3 linked regions of the Oryctolagus cuniculus genome follow. The protein of the gene in region 3 interacts with the protein of the main gene of each other region in a biochemical or structural test. Links are inferred from orthologs where the notes say so. Each region holds a gene or a part of one and is shown on either strand. Other genes may lie near its edges.

The links.
Region 1: of the proteins of H1-5 (region 3) and CCNB1, one has a biochemical effect on the other in vitro, tested with the Homo sapiens proteins (2 studies listed by BioGRID). The link is inferred for Oryctolagus cuniculus from reciprocal best matches to the Homo sapiens genes H1-5 and CCNB1.
Region 2: of the proteins of H1-5 (region 3) and PRKCD, one has a biochemical effect on the other in vitro, tested with the Homo sapiens proteins (2 studies listed by BioGRID). The link is inferred for Oryctolagus cuniculus from reciprocal best matches to the Homo sapiens genes H1-5 and PRKCD.

Annotation. Positions count from the first base shown.
Region 1 is NC_091445.1:90,151,783-90,155,579, reverse strand, and holds the end of CCNB1 (G2/mitotic-specific cyclin-B1), read right to left. Parts: coding exon 3,669-3,797; intron 3,458-3,668; coding exon 3,221-3,457; intron 2,333-3,220; coding exon 2,192-2,332; intron 1,792-2,191; coding exon 1,681-1,791; intron 1,576-1,680; coding exon 1,468-1,575; 3' UTR 1,356-1,467; downstream 1-1,355. UniProt on the Homo sapiens protein: Essential for the control of the cell cycle at the G2/M (mitosis) transition.
Region 2 is NC_091441.1:96,622,268-96,627,204, forward strand, and holds part of PRKCD (protein kinase C delta type), read right to left. Parts: intron 1,759-4,937; 5' UTR 1,751-1,758; coding exon 1,636-1,750; intron 725-1,635; coding exon 525-724; intron 1-524.
Region 3 is NC_091436.1:169,836,922-169,841,911, reverse strand, and holds H1-5 (histone H1.5), read left to right. Parts: upstream 1-2,255; 5' UTR 2,256-2,311; coding exon 2,312-2,989; 3' UTR 2,990-4,070; downstream 4,071-4,990. UniProt on the Homo sapiens protein: Histone H1 protein binds to linker DNA between nucleosomes forming the macromolecular structure known as the chromatin fiber. Histones H1 are necessary for the condensation of nucleosome chains into higher-order structured fibers.

The DNA of each region.
Region 1 (3,797 bases), on a different chromosome or scaffold from region 3:
GGTTCACCCTCCAATGGCCACCGTGCTGATCTGAAGCCAGGAGCCAGGTGCTTTTCCTGGTCTCCCATGGGGTGCAGGGCCCAAGCACTTGGGCCATCCTCCACTGCACTCCCGGGCCACAGCAGAGGGCTGGCCTGGAAGAGGGGCAACCGGGACAGAATCCGGCGCCCTGACCGGGACTAGAACCCGGTGGGCCAGCGCCGCAGAGCATCCCTTTTTCTTAACCAATAAACAGACACAAAATGAGGGCTGAGTTTAGAATGTAAATAAAAGCTTTTGCTTGGCTGGCGCTGCAGCTCACTAGCCTAATCCTCCGCCTTGTGGTGCCGGCACACCGGATTCTAGTCCCGGTCAGGGCACCGGATTCTGTCCCGGTTGCCCCTCTTCCAGGCCAGCCCTCTGCTGTGGCCAGGGAGTGCAGTGGAGGATGGTCCAAGTACTTGGGCCCTGCACCCCATGGGAGACCAGGAAAAGCACCTGGCTCCTGCCTTTGGATCAGCGCGGTGCGCTGGCCGTGGCGGCCATTGGAGGGTGAACCAATGGCAAAGGAAGACCTTTCTCTGTCTCTCTCTCTCACTGTCCACTCTGCCTGTCAAAAAAAAAAAAAAAAAGTTTTTGCTTGTCAATGTGAGAAAATTTAACATGCTAGGGCTGTAATTCAAGAAATGGTCATGAATCATTTAGAATTATGGCAGAAGCAGCAGCAGCAGCAAAGAAACAGGCAAGAAGGCACCAGGCACGGGGTAGTAGACTTTCACTTTAAAACAGGGCAGAAAATTCTCCAGAATGATACCCCATGCAAGTTTTAGAAACCTTTACTGCCTCAGGAACTCATGTTAATAAAGTAAAAGCCAGGCACATAAAACAAGAACCAAGTATATAAACATTCAGATGGGGGCTTGCGCTGTGGTGCAGCAGGTTAAAGCCCTGGCCTTAAGCACCACCTCCCACATGGGCACCAGTTCAAGTCCTGGCTGCTCCTCTTCCAATCCAGCTCTCTGCTGTGGCCTGGGAGAGCAGTGGAAGATGGCCCAAGTCTTTGGGCCCCTGCACCCACGTGGGAGATTTGGAATAGGCTCCTGGCTGTGGATTGGTGCAGCTCTGGCCGTTGTGGCCCTCTGGGGAGTGAACCAGCAGATGAAGACCTCTCTGCTGCCTCTCCTTCTATCTCCGTGTAACTCTTTCAAATAAATAAATAAATCTTTAAAAAAATAAAAATAAAACATACAGATGACTATTATATACATTATTTAGATCCCCAGGTAAATCAAAACAAATTTAAAAATTACTTCCCATCACACCTTTTAGGTTACCCTGAAGTAGGAAGTAACCACATTCAAATGAGTTCAGCCATAAAAAGTAAAAAGGGTTACAACCTTTATTAAAAGTAAATGTAGTATAATATGTACAGGGGCACATGGTGCCAATTTTATTTGCAGATACAGTATTCCAACTCAAGTTTATAAGTTACACCTTGGCCACAGCCTTGGCTAAGTCTTGAACCAGTGCAGAATTCAGCTGGGCTAGAGTGCTGATCTTAGCATGCTTAGATGTGGCATACTTGTTCTTGATGGTCTGGAAAAGCAAACCACAAGGCATTAAAAATACAAACTCTGTAAAAATAAGTTATGCATTTACATCGTTTTCCCTGGCATCTTGCAACGCCACCGACTGACTCACCATGTGCTTTGTAAGCCCACGATTCACCATCACTATATTCTTAGCCAGGTGCTGCATGACAGGAAGGAGAGCTTCCTCGGTGTATGACAGGTAATGCTGTAGGGTTGGCGTCTGCGACAACGACAAATATGTGTCAAAAAGTGCTCAACAAGAAGATGTGCATAAAATCTCAAGATACTAAATGAATACTTATAATCGAAACTTTAGAATAAGCGTTAACACCTCTACCCCAGGTGCTTTTTTCTGTTCCTGGCTCAAACCTAATTACATTATTGTAACTGCCGACTTTTTTCTCCATCTGTAAGCAGTGACAGCTGTTCTACCTTTCTTAGAGGGGTATATAAATTCAAAATAAAAGCATGCTATGAAAAAGACATCACAAGATGGTCTTAGTCCTTCAGTCAGTTCCATATGTAAGAACTAATAGAATTGTTTCTTTATGACAAAGACTCTGTATTCAGTCAAACACCATTTGCAATTTAAAGCTTAGTAGTTCTGAGCTAATGCTTACCCATTCACCATTATCAAGAATTTTCAGTGCTAAGCAAAAGGCTCCTGCTGCAATCTGAGAAGGAGGAAAGTGCACCATGTCATAGTCCAGCATAGTCAGTTCCATCAGGTATTTGGCCAAAGTATGCTGCTCAACATCAACCTGGAACAAAGTCCATACATCACTTAGCTTCTCTCAGAGACTTTTTTTTTTTTTTGACAGGCAGAGTGGACAGAGAGAGAGAGACAGAGAGAAAGGTCTTCCTTTGCCGTTGGTTCACCCTCCAATGGCCGCCGCGGCCGGCGCGCTGCGGCCAGCGCACCGCGCTGATCCAAAGGCAGGAGCCAGGAGCCAGGTGCTTCTCCTGGTCTCCCATGGGGTGCAGGGCCCAAGCACTTGGGCCATCCTCCACTGCACTCCCGGCCACAGCAGAGAGCTGGACTGGAAGAGGGGCAACCGGGACAGAATCCGGTGCCCCAACCGGGACTAGAACCCGGTGTACCGGCGCCGCTAGGCAGAGGATTAGCCTAGTGAGCCGCGGCGCCGGCCTGAGACTTTTTTTTTGACAGGCAGAGTTAAGACAGTGAGAGAGACAAAGAGAAAGGTCTTCCTTTGCCATTGGTTTACCCCTCAAGTGGCAGCTACAGTGCGCACTGCACTGATCCCAAGCCAGGAGCCAGGTGCTTCTCCTGGTCTCCCATGCGGGTGCAGGGCCCAAGCACTTGGGCCATCCTCCACTGCACTCCCTGGCCACAGCAGAGAGCTGGCCTGGAAGAGGAGCAACCGGGACAGAATCCGATGCCCCAACCAGGACTAGAACCCGGGATGCCCGCGCCGCAAGGTGGAGGATTAGCCAAGTGAGCCACAGCGCCAGCCCAGAGACTTTAATGTTGACAAAAACCTGCATGCCCATATCTGTAACTACAAAATGCAATTGCCCATGAAGGTCTTACTATTAATTAACATACAACCTGACTGAAACAATTATTCTTTCCTTGTGCGGCTTGTTACTTAAATACAGGTGTAGCAGTGTTCTCTCGTTATCTGTACCTCTCCGATCTTAGATGCTCTCCGAAGGAAGTGTAAGGGGAGAGGGCGACCCAGGCCAAAGTTTAAAACTCTGAGAATCTTCATTTCCATCTGTCTGATTTGGTGCTTAGTGTAGGTGTTGTTAGTCACAAAAGCAAAGTCACCAATTTCTGGAGGGTACATTTCTTCATATTTGCTTGCAATAAACATGGCAGTGACACCAACCAGCTGCAGCATCTTCTTGGGCACACAATTGTCCTGCAATGGGAATTGCAACTGCTGAGTAGGTAATGTGTTTGAAAAGCAGACACAAGAGCTGTGAAGCAGAGGTGGGCAAAGACATACACTCATAGGGTGTCTCAATTATGACACCCTATGCCCCATGACAAATTTTAGCTGAAAAAGTCAGTTTCTTATGACTCTGCTAAGACCCTGAAGGGAGAACCCTCAATTAATGACTTATGCGCACCTGCATGAACCGATCAATTATGGAAACAGTCATGTACATGGTCTCCTGCAGCAGCCTGAACTTCATCTGAACCTGGACTAGCCAGTCGATTAGGATGGCCCTCATGTTTCCAGTGACTTCCCGACCCAG
Region 2 (4,937 bases), on a different chromosome or scaffold from region 3:
CATCACAGCCGCATGGGCCATGTGGCCACACTCAGGTGCGCAGAGCCTGGGTTCTGGTGGGTAGGCGGGGCTGTCAGCTTTCCCCTCCCTCCACCTCCTTGCCCTTAAAGTTCACAGGGCTGGCCTAAGGCCTGCCTGGGCCTGGAATGTTTGCCAAAGTTCCAAAAAGAACCAAGACAATGGGTGCCTCTGGGAATGGGGCCAGTGACCTGGTACTGGGGCAGAGAGCCACCCTCTCCTGCACGTGAAACTGTCCTATTCTATGTGCATCACATTTTGCTTTTCAAAAGTAAAACAAAGCAAAGTGGTCTCAATCACCAATGAAGATAGCTTCCTTTAGCACCCACCACGGGTCAGCTTCTGCGACCAGCTTCTGACACCCAGTGGCGCACTTCATTGGAACGACCCTGAGGGTGGGGGGTGGGGGGCTCCTAGTAGCTCTGGTGGTGGGCACAGGGCCCAGTAGTGCCGAGCCTGAGCACGCACGCACATGCACACGCACACGTACACGCACACACACTCACCCAGAACTCGGCCTTGCCATTGTTCTTCTTGCAGCGCTCGGCCAGCACTGATACGCCCACGGTCACCTCAGACATGGGCTCCTCGGCCGCCCGCATCAGCACAATCTGGATGACCCGGCCCTCGTAGATGTGAGCGTCGAACGTCGACTTCCACTCTGGGTACATGGTCGGCTTCTTCTGCACCAGTGTCTTCCCACGCTCTGCCAAGGGGCAGTGGGCCGGGTCGGGCTGGAGCCCCTGCCTCTCTACCCTCACACCCACCCAGCATTCAGCTCTGGCCGAACCCGCTGCCTCCTCTGCCCTGAGGACTCCCTGCAGCCGCTCCTGTCGCACCTGGAGTGTGCCCCACTGCACTCCTGCTGTTCCCTCTTCCCGTGAGCCTCTCGTGCCTCTTCAATGTCCCCTTTCCCTATGCACTCAGCAACGCAGCCGAGAGTTCCCGCTCGCCTGCCGTAGCACTGGGAGTGTGGAATGCCGCAGAAGGAAAAGCTAAACCCAGGGCCTGTGGTCCCGGAGCCCTGGGGCAGACAAGAACCAACCCATCTCTCAAGTAACCACTAAGTCACAGCGGCTCCAGACCCACCCAGTCATGCCCGTGGCCTGCCCCAGCCTAATGGTCGGGAAAGACTTCCTGGAGGAAGGGACAGCTCAGTTGAGACCTCAGGGGTGAGCAGGGATTCTCCAAGTGGGGGCAGAAGCAAGAGGGAAGCGTGTGAGCTGTGTGCCTCGTGCAGGAGGCCCTCCCTGGCCCCAGGCTGGAACGGGGCCTACTCTGGGCTTTTCTGCCCACGGAGGTGCCCAGCTGCCCGGCCTGAGCGTGAGCCATGTGCAGGCAGGCCAGTCAGGCCCTCAGAGCCCAGCACAGGACCTGGCAGGGGTGCACACATGGAAGCTGCTGGGGAGAAGCACCAACGAAGGGAAACAACCAAGCCCCGAGCAGGGTCCCGTCTCACCAGGTGCTCCAGGCCCTGGACACCTGCTGGCCTCTGCCTCTCTGTCCCTGCGTCCACAGCTGGTGGGGACAGAAAGGATGAAGCGCAGAAGGACCCCTTGGGGCTCCTAGGGAATGAGGCAAGGCCTCCTCCAGGCCCCTTTGCAGGCCCCGCCCTACCTGTGCTGAGCGCCTCCTTCATCTTCACGGCACAGAAGGGCTGGTTCGTCTCGTCCTCCACCTGCAGGGAGCCCAGCTCGTAGGAATTGAAGGAGATGCGCAGGAAGGGAGCCATGGTGGGGCCTGCGGGGGGTGGGGGAGGGTACACACACACAGGGGTGAGGCTAGGCCGCGAGGACAACCTCACAAGACCTCAGAGACCCACAGCCCAGGACTCTCACACCCCAAGACGTGTAAAATGCACTGGTCCTCGTGGCTCAAACTGAAAATTAACAAGTTTTATCTAAATCCGATGCCCGTTAGGCCCTCTGGATGCAGGCAGCTGGCTCTGGGATGGCCGCCCCCTTGGCGGAGCTCCCCCGGATGGGAGCACCCTCTCCACTCCTCTCCAGAGCCTACCTGGGCGCTGGAGGCCCTGGAGTCTGTGACCCTGAGACACACTCACCTGGGGAGCCACTAGCGCCACTGCTGGGCACGGACAGGTACCCCTGCAGCTCTTGGTGGTTTCGTTTGCTTTACTCACAATTGCCCAGGCAGACAAGCAGGGCCCAGAGGAGCACGCCCGCTTTTCACAAGATGAAACTGAAACTCAGGCCAAGCCAGAGCCGACAGCTGGGAACCCACTGACTTCGCATCCACTTTGTGCAGGGACCAGGGAGGCAGAGCTGTGCCCTGACCCTTCTGAGTTTGAGCCCGCCTGCCTGGAAGGTTGCTCGCATTTTCAGGCTCACTTTCCTCTCATATAAAACCGTAGTTTAAAGTTGAATGTGGGGCTGGCGCTGTGGCGCAGCAGGTTAATGCCCTGGCCCGAAGTGCCAGCATCCCATATAGGGCGCCGGTTCTAGTCCCAGCTGCTCCTCTTCCCATCCAGATCTCTGCTATGGCCTGGGATAGCAGTAGAAGATGGCTCAAGTCCTTGGGCCCCTGCACCCGCGTGGGAGACCTGGAAGAAGCTCCTGGCTCCTAGCTTTGGATAGGCGCAGTTCTGGCTGTTGTGGCCAATTAGGGAGTGAACCATCTCTTTCTGTTTCTCTTTCTCTTTCTCTTTCTCTTTCTCTTTCTCTTTCTCTTTCTCTTTCTCTTTCTCTGCCTCTGCCTCTGCCTCTGCCTCTGCCTCTGCCTCTGCCTCTGCCTCTGCCTCTGCCTCTGCCTCTCCTCTCTATGTGTAACTCTGACTCTCAAGTAAAAAATAAATAAATATTTTTTTAAATTTTTTAATTAAAAAAACTTTTTTTTTGACAGGCAGAGTGGACAGTGAGAGAGAGAGACAGAGAGAAAGGTCTTCCTTTGTGTTGGTTCACCCTCCAATGGCTGCTGCGGCCAGCGCACCGCGCTGATCCGATGGCAGGAGCCAGGTACTTCTCCTGGTCTCCCATGGGGTGCAGGGCCCAAGCACCTGGGCCATCCTCCACTGCACTTCCTGTCCACAGCAGAGAGCTGGCCTGGAAGAGGGGCAACCGGGACAGAATCTGGCGCCCCGACCGGGACTAGAACCCGGTGTGCCGGCGCCGCAAGGCGGAGGATTAGCCTAGTGAGCCGCGGCGCCGGCCAAAAAATAAATAAATCTTTTAAAAAAAAGTTGAATGTAATGCCAAGAGCACTTTACATGGTCACACAGCTTGGTTCCCGCATTCCCCTGTTCCTCACCATCCCCCAAATCACTACAGGAGAGGACCAGAGAGACTTCTCAGCTTGCCGTTTGTGGAAGGCACTCAGGTGTGCAAGCCTGAACATCATGTACACTCACACTCTTGCATGGACACGGGCTCCCAGCCCAAGGTGCTCCTTAATGAAGGCTGTGTGAATGCACACACACACACACACACACACACACGGACTTACTCTATCCTGAACATGACCCAGCAGCTGGACAAAAGCAGACACGTACCCCTACCCTATCCGAGTACACACGAACAGTGGCCTGGCCCTGGCGATGGCTCCTTCCAGCTCCCTGACAGGCAGCAAGAGTGGCAGGCAGATCTGCTGGGAGCACCCAGCCCAGATGAGCTCACAGGAAACTCTGACCTCAGCCTGTAGCCCAGCCCAGCTCAGTGGACCTGGCCAGCCTTCTCCAGCCAGCAGCCAGAGAGCCAGGAGGAACCAGGGGGAGCAGCAGACCCCAGCACAGCCCCTGCCCAGGCTTGGCTCCTTAGGGTGGGTGTGAGAGACAAACACAAGCTCATGCCTGAGCCCAGGCCAGCTGCTCACAACCTCTTGGTCAGCAGAGAGCAGGAGCTGGTTGGGGGCTGCTGCGTGCTCCTTCGTGGGCTGACACACGGAACAGTGTGTGTTTATGTGCGTGGGGTAACAGGTGCATGTGAGCATGAGTGTGCAGCCGTGAGGTGTGTGTGCCCACGAGGCCTTAGGGGTGCGTGGCCCACGGTGGGCATTCAGTAACAGCTGCAGCAAAAACCCAAGGTGCACTGGGCTGGTCTCTAGCCTGTGCATGGGCTAAGTGAGGCCCAAATCGGCAGGCAAGGAAGACATGGGGCCGCCCCTGCTGCCGCTCACCACAGGTCTGGGTCCCCCTGCCTGGGGCCTTGTGCTTTCCGGCAGGATAACCTAGAAACAGCTTGGGCACGAGTGCCAAGTGAGGGCAGGTAGGCAGAAATAAAGGAGGGGCAAGTACCCTGTGGGGATCAGGGCAGCCCAAGTGGCAAAAGGATGGCCAGCTGCTTAGGCACAAGACTCTGACACCAAGTCTGCCTCGGCCCTGGCCTCTCGGGGCTGTCACCCCCTCCTGCAGATGGAAAGCAGCCCCTCCTCTGCATCAGGCCGTCATGCTGATGACAGCTCCTGTGGGATGAGGGCCGGGAGGGGTCCCCTTGTCATCACCCCATCCTTCTCCCATGCACCTTCAGTGTCCATCCCAGCCACCCAATAGCCTGGGAAGAAGCCCTGGCTACTGACCCACTTCTCAGACAGGCAGACCCAACCTCCAGGAACACAAGCAACTCGGCCTGTGCTGCTCCTCACCACCTCCCACTGGCCCCTGACTGCCCGCAGGCTCTGTGGCTTCCGAGGAGACTGCCTCTGGGTGAGAGAAGCCTCAGCCGGGTGAGGCAGGACCCAGCCCCGCGGGCTGTCCCCCAGCTTTCCACGGTCACACTCAGAACAGCTGCTGCTCAGTCAGAAGCCACTGGAAGGAAACCACAACCACAACCACAGCAGGCCCGGGCCCCAGCCCTCAACCTACAGAGCCAGGCCGCAGTGCCATGAAGGCAGGGGATCCGTGGCCTTCGTGGGCTGCCACGGGCCACCCAGCAGTAACCCTGGGTCAGACTACCCTGTCCCGTGTCCTA
Region 3 (4,990 bases):
CACCAGGAGGGAGCTGTTGACTTAGTGTGCGCGCGGAGGGGTGGTCGCGGTTAGGGTGTCCAGGGAGGGGGCAGGGAGAGAACCCACGGTCGTGTTCGGTGCCGTGCCTGCAGCAGCCGTGGTTGCGTGTTTGAAGGTTGGTAGTGTCCTTTATACAGGCTGTGGTGCAGCCACACGGCCCAGCGTGGCTGTTTCCACGTGACGTGCCGGAGGAGCTGTCTGCTGGTCGGTGCCCATGGCTACTGGGCGCAGAAACTTTGTGTCCGGTCAAACCTTTTTCAAGTTCCTAAGCCATAAAGATTTCCCCAGGTTTCCTGTCACGGTTTGGGGTTTCCCCTGCAACTATATATGATCCCATCAGTTGGTCTTTTTCTCCATGTTTTTGATCGGAAACGGGAACAAGAGCTTTCTCGCTGCGGCTCGCAAATAAGTTAACGACCCGTGGGCCAGAAGCCTCTTTAGCTAGGACAACTTGGCGCGCTTTCTACCAAGTGTACCTGCCCCCAACTTGTTTTCCCCTGTAGAGCTGAAACAGGGTGAGGCTCAACCTCAACGGCCAGCTACTCGCGTCTGATGTGTTACTCCTCCAGCTATTCGCCTACGGTGTGTTACTCTTCCCCTGAGGGCCTCAGCTTAGAAAGCTGTGAGGTTGGCAAGTGAGTAAAACCCGCACATGCACTCCCTAAAGAATGCTGGCTGCATTGTTAACCCCCAGAGCTCCCTAAGGATGGTTTTGGGGGTTTTCCCTGGTCCCTTTCTGAGAGCTGTGCTGGGGACGGTGAAAAGTGCTTAGTGCAAACATTTTCTTAGAGTTTCTCAAAAGGGCCTGTAGCAACATCTGTATGCCTGTGTGGAGGATTATAGAACATGGTGGAAAACGCGGGCAGTAAAGTTCACACATTGCAGACCACATCGTTTCGAACCGTTTAAAAAAGACGTAACAACTTAAAGATTGAGCACCACACAGAACAGGGCACTATCCAGTTCAGACTGCGGTTTGCCAACCTCCTGGGAGATTCTAAAGAGAAAATGGCCTGTACATCGCTGCACAGCTTTCCACTGGCACAAACTAAAATGATTTCAATATGGAACTAAAGTTGCTTGAGCTCCTTTAAAATGCTGCCTGCTCCCCCCTCTTCGAGAGCAAACCCCGCTCCTCATTCCGACCTCATGGCCTTCGTCTCAGTTGTTTCAGGATCCTTTTCTGAACCGTAAGAGCATTCAGCCTCTCGAAAACTGCAGCTCAGCCTTCCACAGTCAGTATCCAATTCGTCTTCCAAAAAATGAGTCTGCAAAAACACCCATACTGGTCCACCCTGGCTGCTTACAGAAAAGAGCACTTGTGATCATGTAGTTCACGCAGTGCTGTCGGAAATCAGTGCAGACATTGGGAAGAACGCTTCGGAGACCAGACATCACCCTACATCTTTAAGCACTCGTGCGCTTATTAGGTTACTAGGCGACCTGGTTCATTTTTCATACTTGAGAGGTTGTTTTGGTAATGCAAATTATCTGTTAAATATCATGTCTATTTTAATAGATTTAAACCAGCAATTAAAGTAAGTATCCTAATTAGGAAATGTACAAAATTTAGAGTTTGATTTCAAGGAGTTGGATTCTAAAGTCAAGGGCTTTTCTGACCCTCCGGTTGCTATTCGCAACAATCGCTCTGAAAACCCAGATTTCCCAAGCTGAAAACCTCATTCCCTGAAGACCTCCTCGGCCCCCATAAACTGTCTTTACAGCCAGTTCGGTGTGACCGGCGTGAGGCTGCAGACAGCCAGCTGCGCACTCCCTGTGCTACTTGCTACAGCTAGAAACAATGTTTCCGTCCAAACCAAGGAACCCAGCGCCGCTCCTCTTCTAGGAATCAAAGGCTGACACTAGGAATAAACCCTTCTAAACGCTGTTCGCTGGATACTTGTTCGAAATTTATTGCAACTTGCAACTAAGTAGCAGGATACCGTCAGCCCAAGGGGTTCTCACCAAACGCCGCAGGGATTTTTAAGAATATCCCGCCTCCATTGCGCTCGGTTGACGAACCCACAAACAAGTCCGTGAACCTGGGGGCTGGTTTCCTCCTTTGGAACGCCTAAGCGTCAAATTCCGTGCCGATGTTTTCTGCATTTAATCGAATTTCGGGGACGAACAAACACAACCTGGAGACGCAGCCTCGAGCGGCGGCGGCCCGAGGGCGGCGGATTGGACGCTCCACCAATCACGAGGCAGCGCCGGCTTATATAAGCCCCGACCCGAGCGAGGCGGCATCGCCAAAACTTGTGCTCTGGGCTCCGCAGCGACTCCTGCCGCCATGTCGGAAGCCGCTCCTGCCGAGACCGCCGCTCCGGCGCCTGCCGAGAAGTCCCCCGCCAAGAAGAAGGCGGCCAAGAAACCGGGCGCGGGCGCGGCGAAGCGCAAGGCCGCCGGGCCCCCGGTGTCCGAGCTGATCACCAAGGCCGTGGCCGCCTCCAAGGAGCGCAACGGGCTCTCGCTGGCCGCGCTCAAGAAGGCGCTGGCGGCGGGCGGCTACGACGTGGAGAAGAACAACAGCCGCATCAAGCTGGGCCTCAAGAGCCTGGTGAGCAAGGGCACCCTGGTGCAGACCAAAGGCACCGGCGCCTCGGGCTCCTTCAAGCTCAACAAGAAGGCAGCGTCTGGCGAGGCCAAGCCCAAGGCCAAGAAGGCGGGCGCGGCCAAGCCCAAGAAGCCCGCGGGCGCCACCCCCAAGAAGCCCAAGAAGGCCGCGGGGGCCAAGAAGGCGGTGAAGAAGACGCCCAAGAAGGCCAAGAAGCCCGCGGCGGCGGCCGTCAAGAAGGTGGCCAAGAGCCCCAAGAAGGCCAAGGCTGCGGCCAAGCCCAAGAAGGCGGCCAAGAGCCCCGCCAAGCCCAAGGCTGTGAAGCCGAAGGCCGCCAAGCCCAAGGCTCCCAAGCCCAAGGCCGCCAAGCCCAAGGCCGCGAAGGCCAAGAAGACGGCCGCCAAGAAGAAGTAAAAAGCTGCGCCGTCTGGCCACCGACCAAGCCCCAAAGGCTCTTTTCAGAGCCACCCAGAGACCTCTGGAGAGAGCTGTCTGTCCACCCTTCGCTCGTGTCCAGCCAGGCTCGCACGTAGCTATGTGGGCTTCGAGTGCCCTACCATTCCACGGAGTGTAGTGTCCCCCCCCACTCGCCTGTCGGGGGTAGCCCTCGCCACCTGGCCCCGGGGGACGTTGGCTCTCCAGGAGCGGTTTCCATGGCTCTGAAAAGAGCCTTCGATGCGGGCACAAGCCGACGCGCAGCTTTAAGCTCGTTGCGGATGGTAACTGCAGGTGCGCGTCTTGTTGCGCACTGCGTAGCCCGCCAGCTCCAGGGTCTCGGCCGCCAGGTGCACGGGCGCCCCCCCCGCTCCGCGCGGTTGCCCTTGCGCAGCAGCCGGTCCACGTGGCCCACGGGGAACTGCAACCCGGCCCGGGATGCCGCGTCTTGGCCTTGATGCGCACCTCGCCTCTGCCTGCCGCGTCCGGACATAGTTAAACACGCAGCCGAAAGCTGCAAGTAGAAAGTAGATTATGTTGCTGCTTCTGCTGAGCGCGAAGAGGTGGCCGTGCGATTGGCTCCTGCGCTGTTTTCATTTAGGCCAATGGAATAGGGTGATGTAGGGTAGAGCCTTCGATTGGGTGACGCATATGTGACGCAGTCGCGGACAGCTAGCTGCCTTGTGTTCTGTGCATAGCGTCCCGTAAATGAAGAGCCGTGGCGGGCTCTTCTCGCCGCCCTCCGTAGGCTGGTTTGTCTTTGCGTCTCCCTCTTGCCAGGAGCTAGGCTGCTAGCTCACCACCAAGGGCCAGTGCAGGCGCATCCACGTACGTATACAAGGCACACCAGCAGGAGCACCCCGACGGCTGCCACTAGTCCTATGCCTCGGGCGTCATGACATCGGGGACCTAGCTTTAATCGGCACAAAGATGAACTAGTGATGCTGAAGTCGAGAAGGAGAATGAAGTTCAACCCAATGAATCCCCTTTTCTCACCAGTTAGGGAGGGAGGGTGGGTCCTCGCCGCTACCGCAGGTGCTGGGCCCGCCATTTACAGGCTGCCGGCGCCTCTGAACGCCTGTCCCTGTGGGGCCGAGGTCCTCTCGCCTCCCCCCGCCTCCATGCCTTTCCCGCGCGGTTCCTCTATCTGGAGTTCCAGCTCCCGTTCACGCTCCTGTTAATCTTTCCCTTTAAGGGACGGCGTTTACTGTTTTCACTTGGTCGCCGTTTTCCGTCTTTTGCGTCTCTGAATCGGCCCCAGGCTTCATTTCCCGCTACTCCCCCTTACTGTGTTTTCCGTAAGAAGGGAAATTGTAAACCAAAAGGCCAGGAGGCCTTTCCTCACGTGCAGGCTCGCAGCGTCCCGGCTGGCAGAGCATCTTGCCTTTGACGTTAAATTAATCGGTGTGGAAACGACGTTCTGCAAACTGCCCAACACCGTCACCGTGCGTGTAGGTATTGAGCTTCCTGTGGCTTCATGCTTCAGGAGTCTCAGAAGTGTACATCCTTTCTAGACTGCCTTTTCCTTTGTAATCCATTTCTAACCAGCATTGCCTGTCTCCTCTATCATGGCTGGCTTATGGGACTTTCACTAGTATCCAGCTTTGAAATCAGGAGACCAGTTCCTAACACATACGGCCACTTGAAGACAAAGAATTTGGCTTCTCTGAAGCTCAGTTTTATGACCTGGAGGAAACAGCAATTCATGGTTCCATGACTGACCTGAGGAGCAGTGAGAATACTTTTGGAATTAAATTGGCACATATTTTTCAAAAAGAGAAATCTTATATGAAAATTCACAGCATTTGAAAATTTTCTTGCACTAAAATAAACTTTTTGTTCTCATTTTTTAAAAACTTTTTGCAGCGCCTTCTATTTGGCATTTTCAATGTTTCACGCACCCCCATTTGCTCACCAACGTCACATTCAGCCCGTGCGGCGCTGGCTGTGCTGTGTTTCAGTTCATTTCCACTTCCAAAG